Linked DNA regions of Notamacropus eugenii. The protein of the gene in region 1 purifies or fractionates together with the protein of each later gene. This does not show direct contact. Links are inferred from orthologs where the notes say so. Each region holds a gene or a part of one and is shown in the gene's direction. Other genes may lie near its edges. The genes, in order: SNRPA1, SF3A3 and SF3B4.

What was found.
Region 2: the proteins of SNRPA1 (region 1) and SF3A3 purify together in Homo sapiens (affinity purification with mass spectrometry; 6 studies listed by BioGRID and IntAct, counting the BioPlex papers as one, with this or other methods). This does not show direct contact. The link is inferred for Notamacropus eugenii from reciprocal best matches to the Homo sapiens genes SNRPA1 and SF3A3.
Region 3: the proteins of SNRPA1 (region 1) and SF3B4 purify together in Homo sapiens (affinity purification with mass spectrometry; 3 studies listed by BioGRID and IntAct, counting the BioPlex papers as one, with this or other methods). This does not show direct contact. The link is inferred for Notamacropus eugenii from reciprocal best matches to the Homo sapiens genes SNRPA1 and SF3B4.

The regions. Positions count from the first base shown.
Region 1 is NC_092872.1:153,138,170-153,145,550, forward strand, and holds the start of SNRPA1 (U2 small nuclear ribonucleoprotein A'), read left to right. Parts: upstream 1-2,873; 5' UTR 2,874-3,020; coding exon 3,021-3,102; intron 3,103-5,306; coding exon 5,307-5,454; intron 5,455-7,156; coding exon 7,157-7,235; intron 7,236-7,381. UniProt on the Homo sapiens protein: Involved in pre-mRNA splicing as component of the spliceosome. Associated with sn-RNP U2, where it contributes to the binding of stem loop IV of U2 snRNA.
Region 2 is NC_092876.1:81,242,731-81,250,111, forward strand, and holds the start of SF3A3 (splicing factor 3A subunit 3), read left to right. Parts: upstream 1-3,149; 5' UTR 3,150-3,282; coding exon 3,283-3,378; intron 3,379-3,616; coding exon 3,617-3,664; intron 3,665-5,515; coding exon 5,516-5,568; intron 5,569-5,676; coding exon 5,677-5,782; intron 5,783-7,381. UniProt on the Homo sapiens protein: Component of the 17S U2 SnRNP complex of the spliceosome, a large ribonucleoprotein complex that removes introns from transcribed pre-mRNAs.
Region 3 is NC_092873.1:303,752,942-303,760,322, reverse strand, and holds SF3B4 (splicing factor 3B subunit 4), read left to right. Parts: upstream 1-2,684; 5' UTR 2,685-3,022; coding exon 3,023-3,176; intron 3,177-3,502; coding exon 3,503-3,631; intron 3,632-3,919; coding exon 3,920-4,462; intron 4,463-4,758; coding exon 4,759-4,965; intron 4,966-6,527; coding exon 6,528-6,701; intron 6,702-6,857; coding exon 6,858-7,045; 3' UTR 7,046-7,262; downstream 7,263-7,381. UniProt on the Homo sapiens protein: Component of the 17S U2 SnRNP complex of the spliceosome, a large ribonucleoprotein complex that removes introns from transcribed pre-mRNAs.

The DNA.
Region 1 (7,381 bases):
AAAACTAAAACTATCTTTGGAGATTTTGTAAGTGTTAAGATCTCATGAGTTCTTGAGATTATATGCTATGAGCAGCTTGGATGTTTGAGTTGCTTTTCTACCTCCTTGAGATGAACATTCTGTCCTCATTTGTAACTCTGACGGTTAACGCTAAGGTACATGCTTAAATTGTTCTTGAAAATATATTAAAAGACATTCCTTAATAAAAATATGCCAAAGAATATGAACAGGCAATTTTCAAAGGAAGAAATCCAAGCTCTGAATAACCTCGTGGAAAAAGTACCCTGAATCATTAATAAATAAAGAAATGCAAATTAAAGTAGCTCTGGGGTTCTGTTTCATATCCATTGGACTGAAAAAGAATGACCAAAGAGGAAAAATGACAGATATTGGATGAGCTATGGGAAAATAGGCACATCGCTTCATTGTTGGAGCTGTGAATTGATCCAGCTATTTTGGAAAACAATATATGGGTTAGGATCCAAAAGTTACTAAACAGTGCATATCCCTTAACCCAACTATATCGCTATCAGGCCTATCCTCTGAAAGAAATCAAAGAAAGAAGGACATATATGTACAAAAATATTTATTGCAATACTTTTCATAGTAGCTGAAATTTGATAGCTAAAGGGGTATATACTTATTGGGGAATGGCTAAAAAATATTATGGTATATGTGAATAATGGAATATTATTGTGTCATAAGAAAAAATCAAAATAGACTTCTGGGTAGAATTCTATGAATTTATGTCAAAGTGAGCAGATCTTTAACAGCTTGTGCAATTACAACAACCTTGCAGAGAAAAACAACTTTGAAAGAATTTAAATTTCTGACAGTGGAACAATAAACCATGATTCCAGAGGACTGAAGATGAAATACTTCCTCCACAGAGGTTAATAATGCAGAGATGACCAATGTGGAAATCTGTTTTGCTGGACTATGCCTGTTCAAGTTGTGGGGCTTTTTTTAGTTGTTGTTCAGTGAGGGGTAGAATATTGAGAGGGATAAATTAGAAATGCATGTAAATTTTTTTTAAAAAAGAAGATATATGAAAGCCTCCAGATTATGCCTGATACTTGAGTCACCATGTCAATATAGAACACTCTCCTTGCAACTGCATTATTTAACAAATCTTTGATTCTAATTGATATAACTATAAGCAATGAAGACATTTTTCCCCCTTAACATACTCTATGATTTAGCAGATGATATAAATGAAATGTTGTGGCACCCTTCAAATCCATCACCTAAAGGCCACAATTTTGGTAAGAAATATCTCTCAGCTAGCAAGTTGATCTTTGGACTGTGGGCTTTTCAATTTTGGAGGAATCTGTCAAAACCTCTATGCTACAATGAGTCATTTCATGTATTTTTTCAAAGGTTTCAGAGCTATTGAAGAGGCTCAATATTTACTATATCATATAGCACAAAACCATAGATTTTAGAACAGGAATAATTCAACTATAGTGCTCTTTTTTTTCTGATACTGAAATGGACAGACCGAGACAAGCACAGGCAAGAGTCAATTGAGAATTTGGGAGCGTCTTTATTAGCCGGCGGCTGTCCTCAGAAGAGGCAGCCCCGAACAAAGGTGTGTGTGCCTTTTAAGCATCTTAGCACTTCCCAGTACAGTCTTGCAGTTCCAGTAGCAAACATTTTTCACAGAACAGTTTTGACAGGGGTTCCTAGGTGCTGCTAGGCAAGGTGGCACAACAGAGAGGGGGGCTCAAGCAGCTGCCAGGCAAAGGGGTACAACAGAGATGGGGGCCCAGGCAGCTGCCAGGCAAAGGGGTACAAAGAGAGGGGCTGCTAGGCGAAGGGGCACAACAGAAAGTGGCTACTAGGCCCAACCCTGCCTAGAAACTCAACAGACATTTCTCAACCCAGGGGCTACAATTCTAATTATTATGGTCTAAGTATGGGTTATTAGGTATTATCCATTAAAAAAGGAATAGAAATAATATTCCTAGCATATTCACTAGGAGGGAAGTCTGCATAGTTACATTTCTAGAGATTGCTTTCATAGATTTATAACTTGCTACTTTATTTCCTTTTTGATACATTGTTTCTCTATACAACACTTTTCACAACCCTCAAATAAATGTCTCTTCAAAGGGTATACCACCCCCCCACCCTCCACCCCCATCCCCGTCCCCACAACCATCAAAGGCTGGTTTCAATATTCAAAAAGAATGTGTGTTCTAACTTAGTACGATACATTGTTCTGTTGCTTATATTTGACCACCAGTTTTGCTACCTCTTGATGTTATCTGTATTTACCTTGTTGCTCTATACTGTTCTTTTAATTCGGCTTTCTTAATTCTGCTTCACTACTTTCTACAAATCTTCCCATGGAGTTTTCATATTCATCATTCCTTATGATGTAATTTATCCCATCATATTTATATATCAATTCATTCTGTCATTCCCAGTCGCTGGCGCATTATTTAAAAAAAGTTTCTATGAAGATCTTTTTGTACATGTGAGTCTTTTCTTGCTATAAATAAATTAATGGAAGTAGCAGAATCTTTTCTTGCCCAAATGCTTTTCCATAACCAGAAGCATCAAATGAGGTAACACAAGCAGAAAAAAAAAAGCGCTTTGCAAAACTTAAAGCTCTCTATAAATGCTAGCTACTAGCTAGCTACTGAATGGATGCGTCGGAAACACGCTGTCCTGCGTTCCTTCACCCTACAAAGCACACATTTAGCCCTATTTTTGCAAAGGACCCTAAACGAGCCTGTAAGAGACATAAAAGGTGGCTCCACGAGAGCAACGCAAGGGACTTTAAAACAGTGAGTGCCGGGAGCTCGATTGGGACTTTGGTCGAAGTTCTGGCGGAAGACAGGCAGTAGTTCCGATCTCCGTGATTCGCGAATTGATGGCTTTGGCCTGAACACGCTGCGGCCTCCCGAGGCCCGTGATTGGTTCTGTCCGACCGCGGGGGCGGTGCGCGGAGGCTGCTGGGTATTCTTTGGGGGCCGGAAGGAGCGGAGTCTGCGGTGCCTTGTGGCGACAAGATGGTGAAGCTCACGGCGGAGCTCATCGAGCAGGCGGCCCAGTACACCAACGCCGTGCGGGACCGTGAGCTGGACCTGAGAGGTAAGATCAGGGCGCTGGGAGGAGCGACGGAGAGGACCGCGGCCCCCGCGCTGGGCCTCGGGCCGGGGTCATGGAGCGCTGGGTGGCCTGCGCGCGCTTAGCGGGCCCGCGGGCGGCCTTTTCCGAAGCTGTAGAACAGCAGCTCGCCGCGCTGTGCGGTTCAACCTCCGCTCCGAACACAGAGGAGGAAACTGAGGCCCGCCCGGGGAAGGGAGAGGGCGTGCTCGAGGGCCTGCCCACCGGGCTCCCGAGACCCCCGCGAACAGAGTGGAGGAAATTGGAGTTTCTTGGTGCGCGCGGAAGAGGGTAACTCTTTAGAGAGCGTGACAGGCCCGGTCTGTCACTTGTTACTCTGTAGCGACCGCTCCCTTATTGTCTCATATTATCCGCTATTCTGTAGCACCCTCGCTCCTTTGTTTACCGCCCAGTGAGTCTCACTTCATTTTGTGACATTCCCCGCCACCACGGACCCCTCCAACGGTTCCATTTTTTGGACCACTCCCTGCTTTCACACGTACTCCGGTGTAGTGACGCTCACGGTGTATGTAGTCCGTGATGTTCAGAAGCTGTTCATTCTGACCTTTCTCTCTTTTATTACCCTTCGTAGTCTTATCTGCTTAATTGAAAAATTGAAAAGGCAGGCTTCACTTTAGTTCTGATGTTTATGAGCTAATTTGCACGTAGAGATCACATTCTGTCTTAGTTGGGAACTGTACTGTATCTTACTTGAATTAAGCTAACCTCCAACTGAAACTTACTGAACCAGGTACAGTGAACTAAGGAGAAATACCACAGTAACATGGACTTTTGAGGGCCACGCAAGTGGACAGGCAGATGTGAAGAATTAGATTCTGTGTGTGAAAAGAGCTTTAAATTGTTTTGATTTTTTTTTTAAGCTAGGTTTGAGTCCAGGTTTCATAGCTTGCTACCTGTATAATGCTGATCACTTCATCTCTCTGGACCTCGGTTTCCTTATTGGTTAAATGAAAGGGTTGGACTAGATTACTTTAAACAGAAGGAATTTTCAGGTCAAAATGAAATACTGTCTTGGTGTGACAAGGCATGAGTTAAAATATGAGAGATTTCATGGAAGGAAGGCATCACTTTGGAACATGGTTTTCACACTAGGATGGGGAGGTTGACCTTTCATCCTTTTTCTGTGAAATCCCAATTCCTTAAACTTCATAAGTTTTATATTGCACCCATGAGCAGTTATTTTAAAAAATTTTATATTATTAAATTAAATGTAGATAGAGGTGCACTTCAAGTTTCACCTTTTCTAAGAAAACTCTTTTGTCTTTGACCATGTTTATTGTCATATATGTTTATATTTAATTTAATGATACTTTTTCGTACACTTCCCAGCAAACACACAATCACCCCCAGCAAAGTATGTTCCCTAAAACTAGATTAACAGGACAGAGAATTGTGTGTTTTAACTTAGTTGGCATTTGTAGCAACTTCTAGTCATCGTATTTGACCAAATTTTGCTGCCTTTTAATGTTTGTGGGCATTGACATATCTGTGTATGTATGCATGTGTATATATGTTTATATACACACATATATGCATGTGTCTACTGTCTTCACTATCACCTGTAATAAATAATTTATTTCTCTGAAATCTTTGTATCTGAAATCACCTTATTTGTTAATTTCTTATAGCACAGATTAACACACTATAAATTTTTCGTCCATTCCCCAGTTGTTGGGACACATATTAGCTTCATTTTTTTGTTGTCACAATTTATGCTATGGATAGTTTTGTACATTTGAGGCTTTCTTGTATCTTTTATATCCAGTCCCAACTTCAGAATCTCTTGTTAAGAGTATGCACAATTCGGTAACTTTTGCATAATTCCAAATTGTTTTCTAGAATGGTTGAACCTGTTCATAATTCCACCAGCAGTAATTTAACATTATTGCCTTGTGTTGTTATTTAAATGCTCCATATGTGTATCATCTCTCAAAATAGGTTTTAAGTTCCAATATGGGTAGAAACTATACCTTTCCTTTGTGTCATCCTCAAAACTTTAATAAGTACTGGTTACTTAACTGTTTGTTGAATGAAGAATTGCTGGTGCTCTCATGGTGTAGATTCTAAAATGGATAACAATACCTGATTTAATTTACTGACACTGTTAATTTTAGCTATGGTGTACCTTGGCTACCTCAGTGTAATCTAATATCTTTACTGTTTTCCAGGATACAAGATTCCTGTAATTGAAAACTTGGGGGCTACCTTGGATCAGTTTGATGCTATTGATTTTTCTGATAATGAAATCAGAAAGTTGGATGGTTTTCCCTTGTTGAAAAGACTGAAAACATTATTGGTGAATAATAATAGAATATGGTAAGTGTTAGTTTTTCCCCTGAGTTAGCTGTTAGCTTAAAGCATGGTAAGCAGCTGCAGGTATGCTGAAATTTTTTAAAGCTGAAAAGTTTTATTCTTTCACAGAAATTCAAATAATTCATGGCAGTCTTTAATCCTAGTTTCTGTTTCATGTATCTAAAATTCACGTTGCAAAGGATCATCCACATAAGGAAATTAGCTACTGACAAAAGTTTAGTTTAATAATTTTTATTGCCCTCTTTTGATGTTTATTGCTTGGTATTTTTCTGCATATATGCAGTTTTTAATTATGAAATGAGAGTAAGTAAAAGGTCTGTGCAAGTATAATTTACTAACTTTTTCTGCCTCACCTGATTGACACTTTGTGTCTGCCTCTCCTACCAGATTTTATCTTGGATTCATGGTTCAGTCTGCTGTCTTGAAACAACATCGTAGCCAACAGAAAATATTAATTGGTCTTATTTGTGTGAAATTTGATATGTGTGCAAAGGTTATGGAGTTAAGTTAAAAGAAAAAATTGTGTTCTGCCTTTTAAAAAAAAAGTTTACATTACCCTTAACAATGGGTGGGTCCTATTCCTGTGAGTTAGGTTGGTTAATGTTTAATGTGTAGGACTTCATCTCTGAGTGAGGTCTATAGCTTGTAGAATTTGAGTAGAAACAGCTGTCAGTTTTTTCTCCTAAAGTAGAAAGGGCTGTCTCTGGGAATTGTGGGTTCCCTATCACTGAAGGCCTCCAGTCAGAGATTGGATGACCACTACTCAGTTTCTGTTCAGGATATGAGTTGATCTGGGATGTGATACCATATGTGGATAGAGGAAAGGGAAAGAAGAAAAGAAGGAAGGAAAAGAAAAGAGTTGTGCTGCCAACTGGCCAGTTCCACCATTGGATAGCTCTTTTTATACTCACCTTGGTTGCTGTTTGTCCATCTCTCTGGAAGAGAATGACTTCAGTCAAACCCTTAACTGCTAACTATGTGCTTTGGCCCAAGGGAATATAAATCTTAATATCTGAAATCTTTTTTTTAAACCCAAATCACTACTGCTCTCATTGATTGGCCAGCAGTGGGTCCCAGGCCAAGCCCTATTTGGTGTTTGGGCCTTGATTGGGTCAGAGTGATTGTAAATAGCAGTTGTTTTTGTTTTGATCAGAAACCCTGAGGGTCTTTCCCTCCCAGATAGATGGTTTTTTTTAAGATGGGGGAAGAATGAGGAAGACTCCATTCTCTGCCTCAGTTCCTATTAAGCCTTAATCACTGAGTGAACTTTACCTCAGTCAAACTAAGACCCATTGAAGACCTTAACTTAAAAAGGCCAAGGGCCCCCAATGCATCCTGGGCCATCTCCAGCTCTCTTGATCTATATCTGACTACTGAACTCAAAGGTCTGTGGAGGAGAAAGTAAGACTGATGACTTTTTACTACCCTCCCTCCCTTAAATCCAGTTCACTTGCACTTCATGGCATTACTTCCCTCATGTCATGGTCCTCTTCAAGAACAAAAGACATACTGCAGTGAGTTGATCTATCCACATGATCTCTAAGGTACCATTCAATTCTGAGTTGCTATGGGTTTGTGAATTGGTTACATAAGAAAAATAAATCTTGTTCATATTTAGGTTTCTTTATAGATCTTGAGTAAAAAGCTTTATTTCTTCTTTGATTCAATTATTGATTTTATTATAATAATCTTTATTCTGTTTTAGCCGAATAGGTGAGGGACTTGATCAGGCCCTGCCTAGCCTGAGAGAACTTATTCTTACCAACAATAGTATTGTGGAATTGGTAAGTTGAAAAAAATTTTGAATAATCATTGCAAATGTAGATCCAAAAAAGTTTTAAAAATAAAAATTTAAATTCCTATTTCTAAAATATATTCGTAAACAGAGATCAAGAAAACTTGCTCTTCTTTTATCCCTGACCTTTATTTG
Region 2 (7,381 bases), on another chromosome or scaffold:
CTCTACGTGACTGCTTGTCTTGTGTGAGTTCTTCTTAAAATAATCTTTTGGGTGAACATACATTTGGCATTTGAACAATGTGGCCAGCCCATCTGAGTTATACTCTCTCCCACAGAGTTTGAACGATTGTCAATTCAGCTCAAAAGAGGACCTCAGCATCTGGTACTTTATCCTGCCAGGTGATCAGAATCTTCCTACGACAATTCAAATGGAAGCAATTCAGTTTCCTGGCATGGCGCTGGTAGATTGTCCAGGTTTCGCAGGCGTACAACAATGAGGTCAGCACAACAGCTCTGAAGACCTTCAGTTTAGTAGGCAGTCTAATACTATTCTCTTGCACTTTCCTTGGGAGCCTCCCAAACACTGAGAGAGCCTTGGCAATGTGTGCATTAACCTCATCATCTACATGTACCTCACTGAAAGTATAAGGTAAATGAACTTATCCACAGACAAGAGCTGAGATGTGTGGCCTAGAGTGCTAAACCAATCATTGACTTATCCTCCCCAAGCTAAACATTTAAATTCAACAAAAGCAGTAGCTCCAAGGCAAGTTGACTACCAGAAGACCTTATGTCAATAGATTAGATTGATTTTCCGTGGGAGAACAGTTTATTGCTAACTTGGAGAGAAGGTTGAGCCAACATATGGGCTGGTAATGACGAGGTTGAGGGGTGATGGGGAACCCCCAAATACAGACAGTCTGGGTCGTGCTCGAATGAATTCGACTCAAGCCTTCTTAAAGCCAAAGAAAACAAAGTTTATTAAAGATTCGCCAAATTGGGTTGCCTCTTAAAGAGCCTAAGCATTTGTGACGCTTGTATTCACAAGTGGGCCAGATGGAATCTCAGCTAGACAGAGTCTGAGCTGGATTGCATCTGAGCGCCTTCATGGAGGCAAGATGGAACTTAAACACAAAAAAGGGTATAGGAGGGATCTGGGGGGTGGTCAAGTAGTCCAGGGTGATGGGAGGAGGGGTTTAGGAAGGGTCTTGAGGAGAAGTCCCAGGAGGAAATCCAAGGAGGGTCAAAGGCTGGAAACAGCTGGAGGCTATCACAAGACAGACTAGGGGGCAGACTAGGGGGCACCTAGGTGGGAAGCAGGTGGGGCAATCCAGAGCTCTTGATAGGGGCTGTATGGGAATGGATACAGATCTTGAGGGGAGTGGTTGGTAGACTGGGGAATGGGGTTTTGATGGGATCAAGGGTGGGGAGTGCAACAGAGACCTGAGAAGAATGATAATGAAAAGCCCATGGGCTTCCTGAGACTGCTGGAACAAATGGGAAGATTAGATTTGAGTAAGAAAGGCCAGATTAAGTGGGAAGATTCAAGGGGAGTCAAAGAGGCTCCCAGAGTCTGAACCCCATCAGTAACAGTGGAGCAGAAAAAGAGTGGGAGCTGTGTAAACCGTGGCAACTCACTTCATCTCAGAGTCTGTAAAAATGTAAAAATGGGAGTGATAACATCACAAGGCTGTGAAAAAAGAGTTTTGTAAATTTTAAAGGACTATGGAAATTGTTCTCTGAGCCTCCTATGTAGTTTTCTCCTGTGTAGATAGATATGTCAACCAACAAATATTTGTTAAACATTAAAATTATATACTAAGCACTAGAGATAGTAAGAAAGGCAAAAACCAGGCCTTTTTCTTGAGTTAACTCAGACAACAGGTAAACAATTAAGTACAAACAAGCTACATGCAGGATAAACTGGAGATAATCAATGGAGAAAAGGTGCTAGGATTAAAAAGCTTCCTGCGGAAGGTGGGGTTTTGGTGGGGACTTGAAGGAAGCCGAGGAGGACCATGATATCAGGAAGGTGATACTGTTGAGGTTCAGGGCTGCTGGGGACCCCGAAATACTGACACGCCGGGTTTTGCTCGAATGAATTTGACTCAAGCCTTCTCAAAAACAATGAAAAACAAAGTTTATTAAAGATTTGCCATATTGGTTGACTCTTAAGGAGCTTAAGCATTTGTAAGGCTTGTATTCCCAAGTGGGCCAGATAGAATCTCAGCTAGACAGAATCTGAGCTGGACTGAATCTGAGTGCCTTCATGGAGGCTAGAGGGAACTTATATACAGAATGTGTGTGGGAAAGATCTAGAGGTCTGGGAGGAGGGTCTAAGGAGGATCTTGATGGGATGAATTGGGGTAACTAGGGATGAAATCCAGGGTGAGAAACAGCTGGAAGCAAATGGGAAGTATCAGACAATGCAGGGTCTGGGTGGAAAGTAGGTGCAAAAGGTAACAGACAATGGAAGGCCACGCTAGGCCAAGGGCAACAGATTTGAGTATGAAAGGCCACGTTAAGTGGGAAGATTCAAGGGGAGCTCAGGGAGGTTCCCAGAGTCTGAAGCCCATCAACACCATGACCTGCAAGTGAATTGGATTTAAGTGAGGCAGGATTGTGCAAGGTCACCAGCCTCACTTTCTCCTCCAGAGCCATCTAGGTGCAGGGACCAGAAATCCAAGGGAAAACACCGAGAAAGCAGAGAGAGAAGGTCTTGTTTGTGGAACTATCAGGAGACCAGCGTTGCCAGATCAAAGAGTACAAGGTAAGGGTGTAAGACGGTTAGAAAAGTGAGCAGGGCTTTGAATGACAAACTGCATTTTGTATCTGATTCCGAGGGCAACAGGGAGTCCCTGGAGACTTGTGTAGGGATGATTTCATCGTGGAAGAGGGGCTTTCTGTCTGGTTTGCGCCACTTTATCCGGGTCTCGGGGTCTTATCTGTGAAATGAGGCTGTGAAACGTGGATCCTGAACGTTTCCAAGGACGCTCTGGGATGATGAGTAAAGCATCGTGCAAGTGTGAGGAAGGCGAAGACTAAAATAAGGGCTCTGGACGTAGTAACAACAAGGGCAGTTGTTCATCTGTGAAATGGGGACGGGACACCTCCCCGGCTGCGCTCGCGGCCCGCTGTCAAGGGGCCAGGCTGGGAATGAGGGCTGGTGCCTCGCCGGCCCTGGCCCCCAGAGCCCAGGCTCCAGGACGCCCCGGGAGCGCACCCACTCTGGCAGCTCGGGACACCCTGCGCGCAGGCGGCTGATGGGCGCCAGTGTCTCCGCAAGGGCAGCAGGGGGCGCTGCCGCCTCGGCCCCAGCGCCCCGCTGCTCTCGCTGCCGCTCCCTGTACTGTCTCCTCCCCCATCCCCGATCCCAAGCAAGGACTTCCGGCGAGGGCGGAACCTTGGTGTCGCTGGGTGTGAGGCGCGGGCGGAAGAGCGCGGAGAAGCGCACTGGCGGCTGCCGCAACTTCCGGAGTGAGGTAGAGGTGGCGGGGGCAAGATGGAGACCATCCTCGAGCAGCAGCGGCGCTACCATGAAGAGAAGGAGCGGCTCATGGACGTCATGGCCAAAGAAATGCTTATTAAGAAGTCCACGGTGAGCGGCCGGAGGGAGGGCGGCGGGACGAGACGGGGAGGGAGAGGAAAAAAAAGCGGCCACATCCGGGATCCTGCCCCTCCCCCGGCTCCCAGGATCTCCCGTGTGCCAGGGACGCGTCCAGCCTGGGGGTCCCGTTCTGTCCGGGGGTGGGGGGGGGGGGGTCTGGAGGAAGGGAAATGCCGAGCGTCCCCGGCGGGTGGAGGCTGACCCAGGCTCTTGTGTCTTCCCCCTTCAGCTCCGGGACCAGATCAACTCGGACCATCGCACTCGGGCTATGCAGGACGTGAGTGCTGGGGCGGGGAGGGGCCGAAGGCTGTTGGAGCGTAGGCCCCCCACTGGGCAGGCCCGGCCGGCCGCTCGGGGAGTCCGGGTCCTCCGCGGCTGTTTGCGGGTGGTCTCCCCCGTGAGACCGGGAGCCCCTGAAGGGCAGCGACTGCCTGCTTTTGTGTCTTTCCCTGCGTCCTCCGAGTTTGTTATTAAGTTATTTTAACTAAATCGTTAAATTTATTAGTTATTGAAATTAAGTTGTTATTAAGTTTGCTGACCGAATTAATTTATTAATTTCGTATCATTTAAATGAATAAACTGTTAATAGCGGCTTATTGACCGGCATAGCGGGCGCCTAATTAGTGCTTGTGCGGCGAGGCACCAGGCCATCCGTGGTCCGGCAGAACTTGTGGGCCTGGCACTGTGCTGAGGGCACAACAGCAAACAGTCCGCTTCTCAAGGCGGTCACGGACCAGTGGGGATTGGCGTTTCTCCTGGGGCTTCCTTCCGACTCAGTGACCACTAACCACCCTCTCTGTGCAGAGAGGTAGGTTCGCTTCTGAAGGGAGCCGCCAGAAGGAAGAGGTTGGACTCTCAGGAGTACCCCTGGGCAAGCATCTGGTCTGTCCCCTGCCTGACCAAGACCTCTGCCTTGCTCGCCACGCTTTTGGACGATCTAGGCCCCTCCTGTGGTGCCTTTACCACAGCCGATAGACCAGCTCCGCCTGGGATGGGGAAGACCTGAGTTCACGTGCTTCCTGTCTGTGCACCCCTGGGCAAGTCGCTTCACCTCTGTCTGCCTCAGTGTCCTTATCTGTAAAATGGGAATAGTTCTAGCACCGACCTCCAAAGATTGTGGTGAGGTGAAAATGAGATGGTGCTGGTCAAGAGCTTTGCAAACCTTACAGTGAAATATAAATGGTAGCGATTGTTATTAGAACGTTTATGACCTCAAGCAAGGCATTTCACAACTTAATCTTTGGTGTTCTCTTTTCTGAAACAACTGTAATCATATTTGCACAGGATTGAGTAAACCACTTGGCGACCTTTGAAATATTGTGAAGTGTTATGTTATTAGTTGTAGTTATAGCTGGAAATAAGGAACGTGTAAATATATTTTGCGTTATTTTATGCATATAATGGGTATTGTACTTTTTTTGTTGCTGCCTTTTCATTGGGTGGTGGAGGGAAGGAGAGAATTCAGAACTAATTTTTTTTAATTGATTGTTAATACTACCACTTTTTTCACCACCATTACTACTACTATCGTACCACCAAGCTTGCCTTCCTTTTAGACTTATCTTTTAACTCCCTTCTTTTATATACAGTTTTCATCCCATCTTTGAGGAAGCTGCTCTAGCTTTGAATATAAAAAGTCTCTAATAAATATGTTCCCACTAATGTCTTGATGACTGAGGCCAGCATACTATGCTCTTCTTAACTCTCCACTTAGTTAGATTTTACTAAGGTGCTAGACCAAAAAGTAATATTAGAGAATGATGATGGGTTAGTAGAGAAAGAAGTTAAATGGGGAATAGACCTTCATTCTCAAATTATGTCATAAATAAGGCCGTTTCCAGTCATCCTGATGAATATCTGGTCACTGGATCCAGATGGTTCAGGAGGAAAAGTGAGGCTGGTGACCCTCACTCAAAACAAAGTCAAGTGCACACGGTCTTTTCGATAACCAAAGGATGAATACAGCAATAACAATATAAGTAACATCTTTACTGTCTGCTGAAGTCCTTGTGTCCCTTAATTTATCTTGAATAATCACTGAAGAGTCTTTGTTGGATATCCAACTATGTGGCGACAGAAACTGCTTTATGTTGATACAGTGTTTTTATTTGGTTTTTTTGCCTTTTAGAGGTATATGGAAGTCAGTGGGAATCTGAGAGATTTGTATGATGACAAGGATGGGTAAGTGGCAGTGCTGCGCCATGTATGGGTGATTGTGGGGTGCCAGTGTCAATCAAATTACTGACCCTGGTCCTTTGTTTTCTCTTTTGGTCCCTTTGGGAATTTCAGGTTAAGAAAGGAGGAACTCAGTGCTATTTCAGGACCAAATGAATTCGCAGAATTTTATAATAGACTCAAACAGATAAAAGAATTCCACCGGAAGCACCCAAATGAGGTAAGCATAGACTTTCAGAGTGAGCCAAGGGATACTTGAGAAAGAAGTAGCAGGGAGGAGGAACACTATTGATCTTTGGTTTTGTTTTGACTCATCAGTTACCTAATTTGCACCTTTGAATTGTTTTGATGACCTACAACAGTTGAGCAAGTGTCAGTATATTTGTCATTGAAAGACAGTGTAAGACAGACTTTGGCAACAGTTGTCTCTGTCTTTCCTTGTTTGCTGTATTAACACCTTTTCCTGTAAAATCATGTATGAATGTAGAGAATATATATATTTTTATTGTTGTTAGTATAGTATGACAGATAGGTGTTTTGGTGTAGTGGCACAGTAGACTGCGGGACTTAAAGTGAGGAAGACTTGGGCTCAAATCCTGCCTTGGATACTTACTAGCTATGTGACTATGGGTGAGTAATTTATCTTCTCTGAGCCTCAGTTTCCCCATCTGTAAAATAGGGATAATAGTAGTACCTACTTCCCAGGGTTGTTACAATGTTTGGTGAGCACTTTGCAAGCTCTAAAGGATTATGTGAATGTTCATTATGATTATTACTGTTATGATGTGTAGTTGTTCACAGTATTTGTGGCTTGGTCTTTGCCCTGAAAGAGCTAACTATCCCTGCAGAGTGACATATTTAAATACCAGACAGGAGACAGCCATGGTATACTGGGCTTCAGCTCAGGACTCTTTCCCCTGTACCCAGGAGAACAGGCTTTAATTCAGTTCTGGAACTAACGAGCTCTGTGACTTTGAGCAAGTCACTACTTCATGTTTCTGGGCCTCAGTTTTGGGATGGTTGTATTGGATGACCACTAAGATCCTTCCAGCTCTGACCTCGCATGAGTCTGAGGATACAGCCAGTAGGAATTTAGAGGCAATAAAGTGCTGGGGGTTGAGGAAACGGAAAGCTTCTGTCAAGAATAAGGACTTGAACTTGTCCGTGAAAGATGGTTAGATAGAATGGTGTGGGAAGGGAATTCCAGGGTAAGGAAGCATTGTGAAGAAAGGTGCAGAAGTGAGACTAAACAAGAAAAGCATGAGGAACAGGAATTAAATCAGCCTTGAGTGGAAGGTCATGTTGGATTTTAGTAGGAGAGGAGGAAAAGGAATTTGAGGTCAGACTGTAGATCCTTGAATTTCAGGATCAGGGAAGTGGAAGAACCATCAAAGACTTTTGAGGAAGGTTATTATGTAAAAGAAACAAAGTAAAAAGGGTAGTCTGCCAGTGGTATACAGGTCGAATTGGCTGCAGGGCCCAATAAGGCAGATTTTACATCTAGGTATAAGGTGATATGGACTGGGGCAAAGTTGGTGCCAAGGAGATGCTGAAGGTGAAAAGCTGAGTAGAGATGCCTGCATTGAGGGTGAATGTGGATGCAGCAGCTAAGGAAGCACATCTGCCAGTGTAAGGCTATACTTACCATTCTGGATTGCCACTTGCCTTCTGATCATGAACAGATGAACAGAAAAGTTATTATAACAGTAAGCATCCCAACATACAGAAGGGAGCCTGTTATCAGAGGTTCTTTGATATGCTTCTCTAAAAGGAAGGGCAACCTTTGAGGGGTTAACATTCACTTTAATCAAGCCTGACA
Region 3 (7,381 bases), on another chromosome or scaffold:
ACCTTGAGCAAATCACTTATCTTGAGCTGATTTTCTTAATCTGTAAAATATTATATGTACAGGGTGTCCCAAATGTGTGTGTGTGTGTGTGTGTGTGTGTGTGTGTGTGTGTGTACACACTAGAATATGTGGCTATTTCCAGGTCTGAAACTATGATTCTGAGTCAACTCCAACACTGACACCTGCTCCTCCCTCCAACTCCCCAGAGACTGTTTTGTGCCTGAAATGTTTTTCTTTGTAATTATCTTATTATTTAGGATCTTAACCTGCTCCCTTCAAGACCATCCTATCCTTTGTGTGTTTACGGTTGTATAGTATTTGAAGTGGAGGTACTGGTTATGACTCACCAACATGGCTCCTACAGACCTAATCCTAATTTTCCTTCTGCCTATCTCTCTACTTCTTAATTTCTAGTTATTCTCTTTGCAGCTTTCTATGGAAATAGAATGGAGAAGAGAGAGGAAGAAAGGGAATAGATCTTACTATGTGTTAGATATTAGGTTACAACTGTGATTTCTTCTGATTCTCATAACACCCCTGCACAGTATATGCTATTTTTATCCCAATTTTTCATTTAAGGAAACAGACTTTAAGTGACTTGCCTAGAGTCAACACAACTAGTAAGTGTTTGAGGATGGATTTGAAATCCAGGTCTTTCATGCTCCAGTCTCAGCTCTCTATGGCTTCTGAGTAGGATTGGGAGACTCTCTACCACCTCCATATGTAGATGTTTTGGTAGTGACAGAAACCATCAATGAAAAATATTTATACAAGCTATAGGTTTTGCTTCTGAGAAGAATAATGTGGGAATAGGTGCTAGGATAAAGTCGGGAAAATGGGGACAGAAAATCTTGTACTGTGGGAATGATATGTGGGCACAAGCATCATCATCCAACTGACTGATCATTTATTACCCAATGCCAATATTAGTTTCAGGGAAAACAAGGCAATGAGGAGAAGGGACCAAGTGAGAATTATGGTGGGGCCCAATTATATACAGGTTAACCCTTGTATGGCCTAGATTAAGAAGACTTCTCAGTGACTTTTTTCAGGGAGTAATATAGAAGAGTTTCAATTGTATTGGAGGTCAGGCTAAAGTCAAAGATCAAACTCTGTGAAATAAGCTAAGATCTGAATTCTTGGAGGTTCGAGCCTTAGACCTCCAGCAAGATTTAGAAGTTGGTGGGAAGTAGTATGGGACCAAACCTTTAAATGAGGATAACACGTAGAATAGGGATGGTTCTGGACTGGCTAACAAGAAGGAGTTTACTCCTTAAATCCTTTGTTACAGATATAGTTTGAGCATGGTACACACTTGGGAACTTGAAGGAATCCAATAAAATAAAATTTGTAATGGAATAGTTTAGTGTTTTGAGCTAAATGTCCCTCCTTCTTCAAGACATTTTTCTCAGTTATTAATCTTAGTGTCTTCCTTTTGAGACCACCCCCATTTTATCCTGTACATATCTTGTTTGTACATAGTTGTCTGCATTTTGTTTCCTCAATTGATCATGACGGCCTTGAGAACAGGAATGGATTTTTTGCCGTTCTTTGTATCCTCAGCCTTTAGTATGGTGCCTGGCACATAGTAGGTGCTTCACTAAATGCTAGTTGACTGACTGGGTCCTATACAGGTATGAATATATGAATATGCTCAGTGTGTACGGGATATAGCAAAGCCCATACATTATAAAACTACAGTCCACCATCCAGGGAGGATGCCTAGTGCAGGGAAGGAAAGAAGCATACAGCACTTACCACGGTGCTAAGAGCTTTACAAATATTAATTAGCTCACTCTGACCTTCACAACCACCCCGTGAAGTAAGTGTTGTTATAATTCCCATTTTACAGTGGAGGAAACTGAGACACAGAGGTTGTGACTTGCCCAAAACTTGCCATAGCTAGTAACATCTGAGGCTGGATTTGAGCTCAGGTCTTCCTAACTCTAGACCCATGGCTGTAGAGCAGACCCACCGCTGCATCCAGGGACCCTTGTGGGACATTGATGAGCTGGACCACAGACAGGGTCAGGAAGCTCAGCATCTGTGCCAAGAAGAGGCCAGGCGTTGGATGTCAGGAACTAGTGCAATCAATGCCCCTTAGGCCCCCTTTGTGTTAGGGTGCCAGGGAGATCCTGAGGGGTTCGGGCTGGAGGATGCCCGTTGGGCAGGGGGAGAGGCCTGCTAATAGTAGTCGTTGGTGTGTTTGGCAGCGATGCATTGTGATGAGGTGGGCTTTCATTTTGGTGTGGACTTGTGGGCTGGAGGCGGGGCGTGACATTGGCCGGAGGAAGGATCGTGCAGCAGGAGCAGCGGCGGCGGCGGCGGCGGCGGCGGCGGCAGCGGCAGCAGCAGGAGCGGCAGCAGGAGCAGCGGCAGCAGCATCAGCAGCGCCGTCACGTGACTTTTGGGGGGGTGGTTTGTTTTTTTTTAGCAAAGCTGCCAACGTCAGAGCCCTTCCTAGGTTACTAAACCTCCCTGGGCCTCAGTTTACCCAGTTGTGGACTTGAGGGGAGGTTGGACCGGACGGACTCCTAAGCTCTTTCCAGCTCCACATCGCTCCCTTTCTCAGCCCCACTTCCCCCATTCGCACAAACTCTGGGTTGGGGGCGGAAACGCCCCCCATTGCTATGGCAACTTTTCGGCGCCGCCTGGTTAGGAGGAAAGGGGGCGTTTCGGTGTCTGTGAGCCAGGAGCCGCTTTTCTAGGTCCTGATCATGATTGACCTCGATTTGGGGGTGGTCCTCGTACCGCTCTTTGGGGGTGAGGTGAGGGAGACTGAGATAAACTGTGGCGGTCAGAATGTCAAGATCTTGTGATTAGTTATCTTGAAAAATAAAGGTTTATTCCATTCAGGCTTCTGTGGTTCATGGTCGGGGCTGGGAGTGGGGGAGGAGAGCCGCTACTTAGACCCTCCCCGAAGTCACGTGGAGGAAGCCCCTGATGGTAGGACTCCGAGCCCTGCCTCAGGCGGCCCGTGCCAGCTCAGCCAACATGGCAGCCCACGCCCGGCGCTTCCGAGATGGCCGCCGCCGCGTCTCACGCTGCCCTCCTCCGGCAGCCCCGCCCCTACCGCTGCCCCGGAAGCGGAAAAGTTCCCGTTGCGGGGCCGCTGCCTGGAGACGGCGGGAGCAGATTCAGTATGGCGGCCGGGCCCATCTCCGAACGGAATCAGGGTGAGTGGGGGAGGAGGCGGGAAGCCCGGAACCGCGTCCGCACGGGCCCGAGCCCGGCTCGTTGAGGGGGCCCGGGCCGGGGGCTGGGGAAGCGGGTTCGCCGCGTCGCAGAGGCCCGGAGGCCTCCGCGACCCCATGGCCGAGCGGGTCGGGGGGAGAGGGGAGAGGCGGGAAGGGAGGGCTCCGCGGGTTTCCCGTGCACCTGCCCCCCGGGCCGTGGAGAAGCCGCCTGAGGAAGGCAGCGTGAGGCCCGGCCCTGGTCGGACACCGCTGCCCACCGGCGGTGGCCCGCCCCCTTCTCACGTCCGCATCCCTTCGCCCCGCAGATGCTACGGTGTACGTGGGGGGCCTGGACGAGAAGGTCAGCGAGCCGCTGCTCTGGGAGCTCTTTCTGCAGGCGGGGCCCGTGGTCAACACGCACATGCCCAAGGACAGAGTCACGGGGCAGCACCAAGGTGAGGAGGGGGAGGATATGGGGGAGGGAAGGGGCGTGCGAGGCCACGCGCCCCCGGGCGGCCAGTGTCAGCGAGGCTTTTACTCTCGTCTCTCCAAACTTTGTGCGGCTTCTAGCTTCCTTGGCTTGGATTCCTCCGCTGCGATGACAAGCACGCTCTTTTCTTCTCTTCCCCGTACGTGCCCCTGGGCTTTCTTTTTTTTGCGGGAGTGGGACAAATGGTGTCCCCTCGGGGCTCTTAGCGGACGGTGCGCGCCCAGTCTAACCTTCCGCCCTTGGCCTTCTCCAGGCTATGGCTTTGTGGAGTTCCTGAGCGAGGAGGATGCGGACTACGCCATTAAGATCATGAACATGATCAAGCTGTACGGGAAGCCCATACGAGTGAACAAAGCGTCAGCTCACAACAAGAACCTCGATGTGGGGGCCAACATTTTTATAGGGAACCTAGACCCCGAGATCGATGAGAAGCTGCTCTATGACACCTTCAGCGCCTTCGGGGTTATTTTGCAGACCCCCAAGATTATGCGGGACCCTGACACAGGCAACTCCAAGGGCTACGCCTTTATTAATTTTGCTTCGTTCGATGCCTCCGATGCAGCGATTGAGGCCATGAACGGGCAGTATCTGTGTAATCGGCCCATCACAGTGTCTTACGCCTTCAAGAAGGACTCTAAGGGGGAACGGCACGGCTCCGCGGCCGAGCGGCTTCTGGCAGCCCAGAACCCCCTGTCCCAGGCGGATCGGCCCCACCAGCTGTTTGCGGATGCACCACCTCCACCGTCCGCCCCCAATCCTGTTGTGTCTTCCTTGGGATCTGGGCTTCCTCCGCCAGGTAAAACATGGATTGGGCGTGTGAAAGTGAGGGGTAGACCAAGGCTGGCGGGACAAGGAGACGGAAGGGATAGTCGGAGTATGGTGAAGAAGTGAAGTAAGGGTTTGGAGATGGGAGGCTTGGAGATAATAATGCCCAGGCTGTAGATCTTTGTTTAAATTGCCTCTTATTGTATGAGTAATTTGTGGAGAGGGAAGGTCATTTTCTTAAGTGGCATGTGAATAGGGGGACATGGTGGGACAAAGTTTCTGTCCTGGTTTATTGATACAGACTCTTCTTTCTATATTTCTTTTTAGGTATGCCCCCACCAGGCTCATTCCCACCTCCAGTGCCACCTCCTGGAGCTCTTCCTCCAGGAATACCCCCAGCCATGCCTCCACCACCTATGCCTCCTGGGGCTGGAGCCCATGGCCCTCCATCAACAGGAACCCCTGGAGCAGGACATCCTGGACATGGACACTCACATCCACATCCATTCCCACCAGGTGGGATGCCTCATCCTGGTAGGTGTTCTGTGCTGGGAATGAGAGGGACAAATGAGGGGGAAGGGGCTGATTACATCTTGACTCTTCTTCTCTTTCTCTTTTTTCTATATCTTATGCACTTGGCTCCTCCCTTGTCCCTCCTATCCTTTCAACCTCCCTCCAATTCCTAATTCTGTTCCTGGGATGATATGTGATCCCATAGAGAGAACTTGTGAGAGTAGGAGGTTTTTCTATTTTAACTAATCAAGTAGTATATTTTTCTTTGAGAAAAATAGCATGGCTATGGCCTGTTTCCTGCCAACTTGATTCTCCTGTTTTCTCATCCCTTTACTTCTTTGTTTTTTGGGGGTTTTTTGATCTTACTTTATTTGAAGTTGTAGAAGTAAAGGTAATTTCTTTTAAATCAGCCTGATGTTTTCCCCAAGACCATCTGTTTCACTTGTAGTCATTCACAGTGATGACCTGTATTCACTTGAGGGTAGCTCTGAAGGCCTAAAGGAGAACTGGTTTTTTTAATTAATTTTTTTTTTTCAGTTTTCTTCAATCACTTTTATAAATCTTAGATTTTTTTCCCCCTTTCTTCCCCTCCCTCCCCCTCCCTCCCTGAGATAGCATTCAGTCTTAGATGGGTTCTACATATACATTCTTCCTAAATACATTTTCACCTTAGCCATGTTGCATGGAAAAACTAAAATGAATGGGAGAAATCATGAGAAAAAACAGAACACGAGAAAATTGTCTGCTTCATTCTGCAATCCAATTCCATAGTTCTTTCTCTGGATGTGGAAGGTGTTGTGCCTCAAAAGTCCATTGGGAATTTTTTAGGTCCTTGCATTGCTATGAAGGATTAAGTCTACCAGAAAAATTCCTCGAACACTGTGATGGTTGCTCTGTACAAAGTTCTCCTGGTTCTGCTCCTTTCACTCAGCATCAGTTCATATAAGTCCTTCTAGGTCTCTCTGAAGTTTTCCTGTTCATCGTTTCTTATAGCACAATAGTATTCCATTACATTCATAAACCGCAATTTATTCAGCCATTCCCCAATTGATGGGCATCCCCTTGATTTCCAGTTTTTGGCCACCACAAAGAGAGCTGCTAAAAATACTTTTGTACGTGTGGGAACTTTTCCTGTTTTTATGGTCTAGAAGCAGTATTGCTGGGTCAAAGGGTGTGCATATTTTTGTAAGCCTTTGGGCATAATTCCAAATTGCTCTCCAGAAGGGTTGGATCAGCTCATAGCTTCACCAACAATGAAATAGTGTTCCAACTCTCCTACATCTTCTCTAGCATTTGTCATCTTCCTGTTTTGTCATGTTAGCCAATCTAATAGGTGTGGTGTGGTACCTCAGAGTTGTTTTGATTTGCGTCTCTCTAATTGACAGTGATTTAGAGTATTTTTTCATATGACTATAGATAGCTTTAATTTCTTCCTCTGAAAACTGCCTGTTCATGTCCTTTGACCATTTATCAGTTGGGGAATTTCTTTTTGTTTTGGACTCCTGGCTTGCTTTCCTCTGCTCATTTCTATAACCTTAGCTTCCCCCTTCATTTAATTCTTATGTCTTCTTTCTTTTGTGTAGGTATGTCTCAGATGCAGCTTGCCCACCATGGTCCCCATGGCTTGGGACACCCCCATGCTGGGCCCCCAGGCTCAGGGGGGCAGCCTCCTCCACGACCACCACCAGGAATGCCTCATCCCGGCCCCCCTCCCATGGGAATGCCACCCCGAGGACCCCCTTTTGGGTCTCCCATGGGTGAGTAGACTTGTACCCATCTCATACTTTCTCCTTTCTTAATTCCTTTACTCTTCACTTACTGCCCTCCCTTCATCTTTTTTCCCCAGAATTTACCTCATAATGATGTATTCTCTGTTTGTTGTTATCTCTGATCTCTCTCTTTTTCTCACTCAGGTCACCCAGGCCCCATGCCTCCCCATGGTATGCGAGGACCTCCTCCGTTAATGCCCCCCCACGGATACAGCGGTCCCCCTCGACCTCCACCCTATGGCTACCAAAGAGGACCTCTTCCTCCACCGCGGCCCTCCCCCCGTCCGCCAGTACCCCCTCGGGGTCCACTCCGGGGCCCTCTTCCTCAGTAGTGCCAAATTTCTCTACAATCTGTTGCATTCCTCTGAGACTCTCCCTGTCTTTTGGACCAGTCAGAGGAACAGTTGCCCCCTGGGCCTGAGGCACGCTTTTCTTCCTCAAATTTGTCCCTTTTTCCAGTGTGATTTTTTCCCCCCCACTGGACTTTTTTCTATGTTGGGTTTTACTTCCCCAAATATTGACAGTGAATAAAGCTGGATCCCTTGTTTATCCTGTACGATATTATTCTTGTTGAAGTATCGCCCCTGGAAGGAAGGAGGTGTATGATGGAGGAAGGAGGGTGAAGGAGATAGTAAAGCTGGCAAGTGTGTATTTACTACTTGACTTGG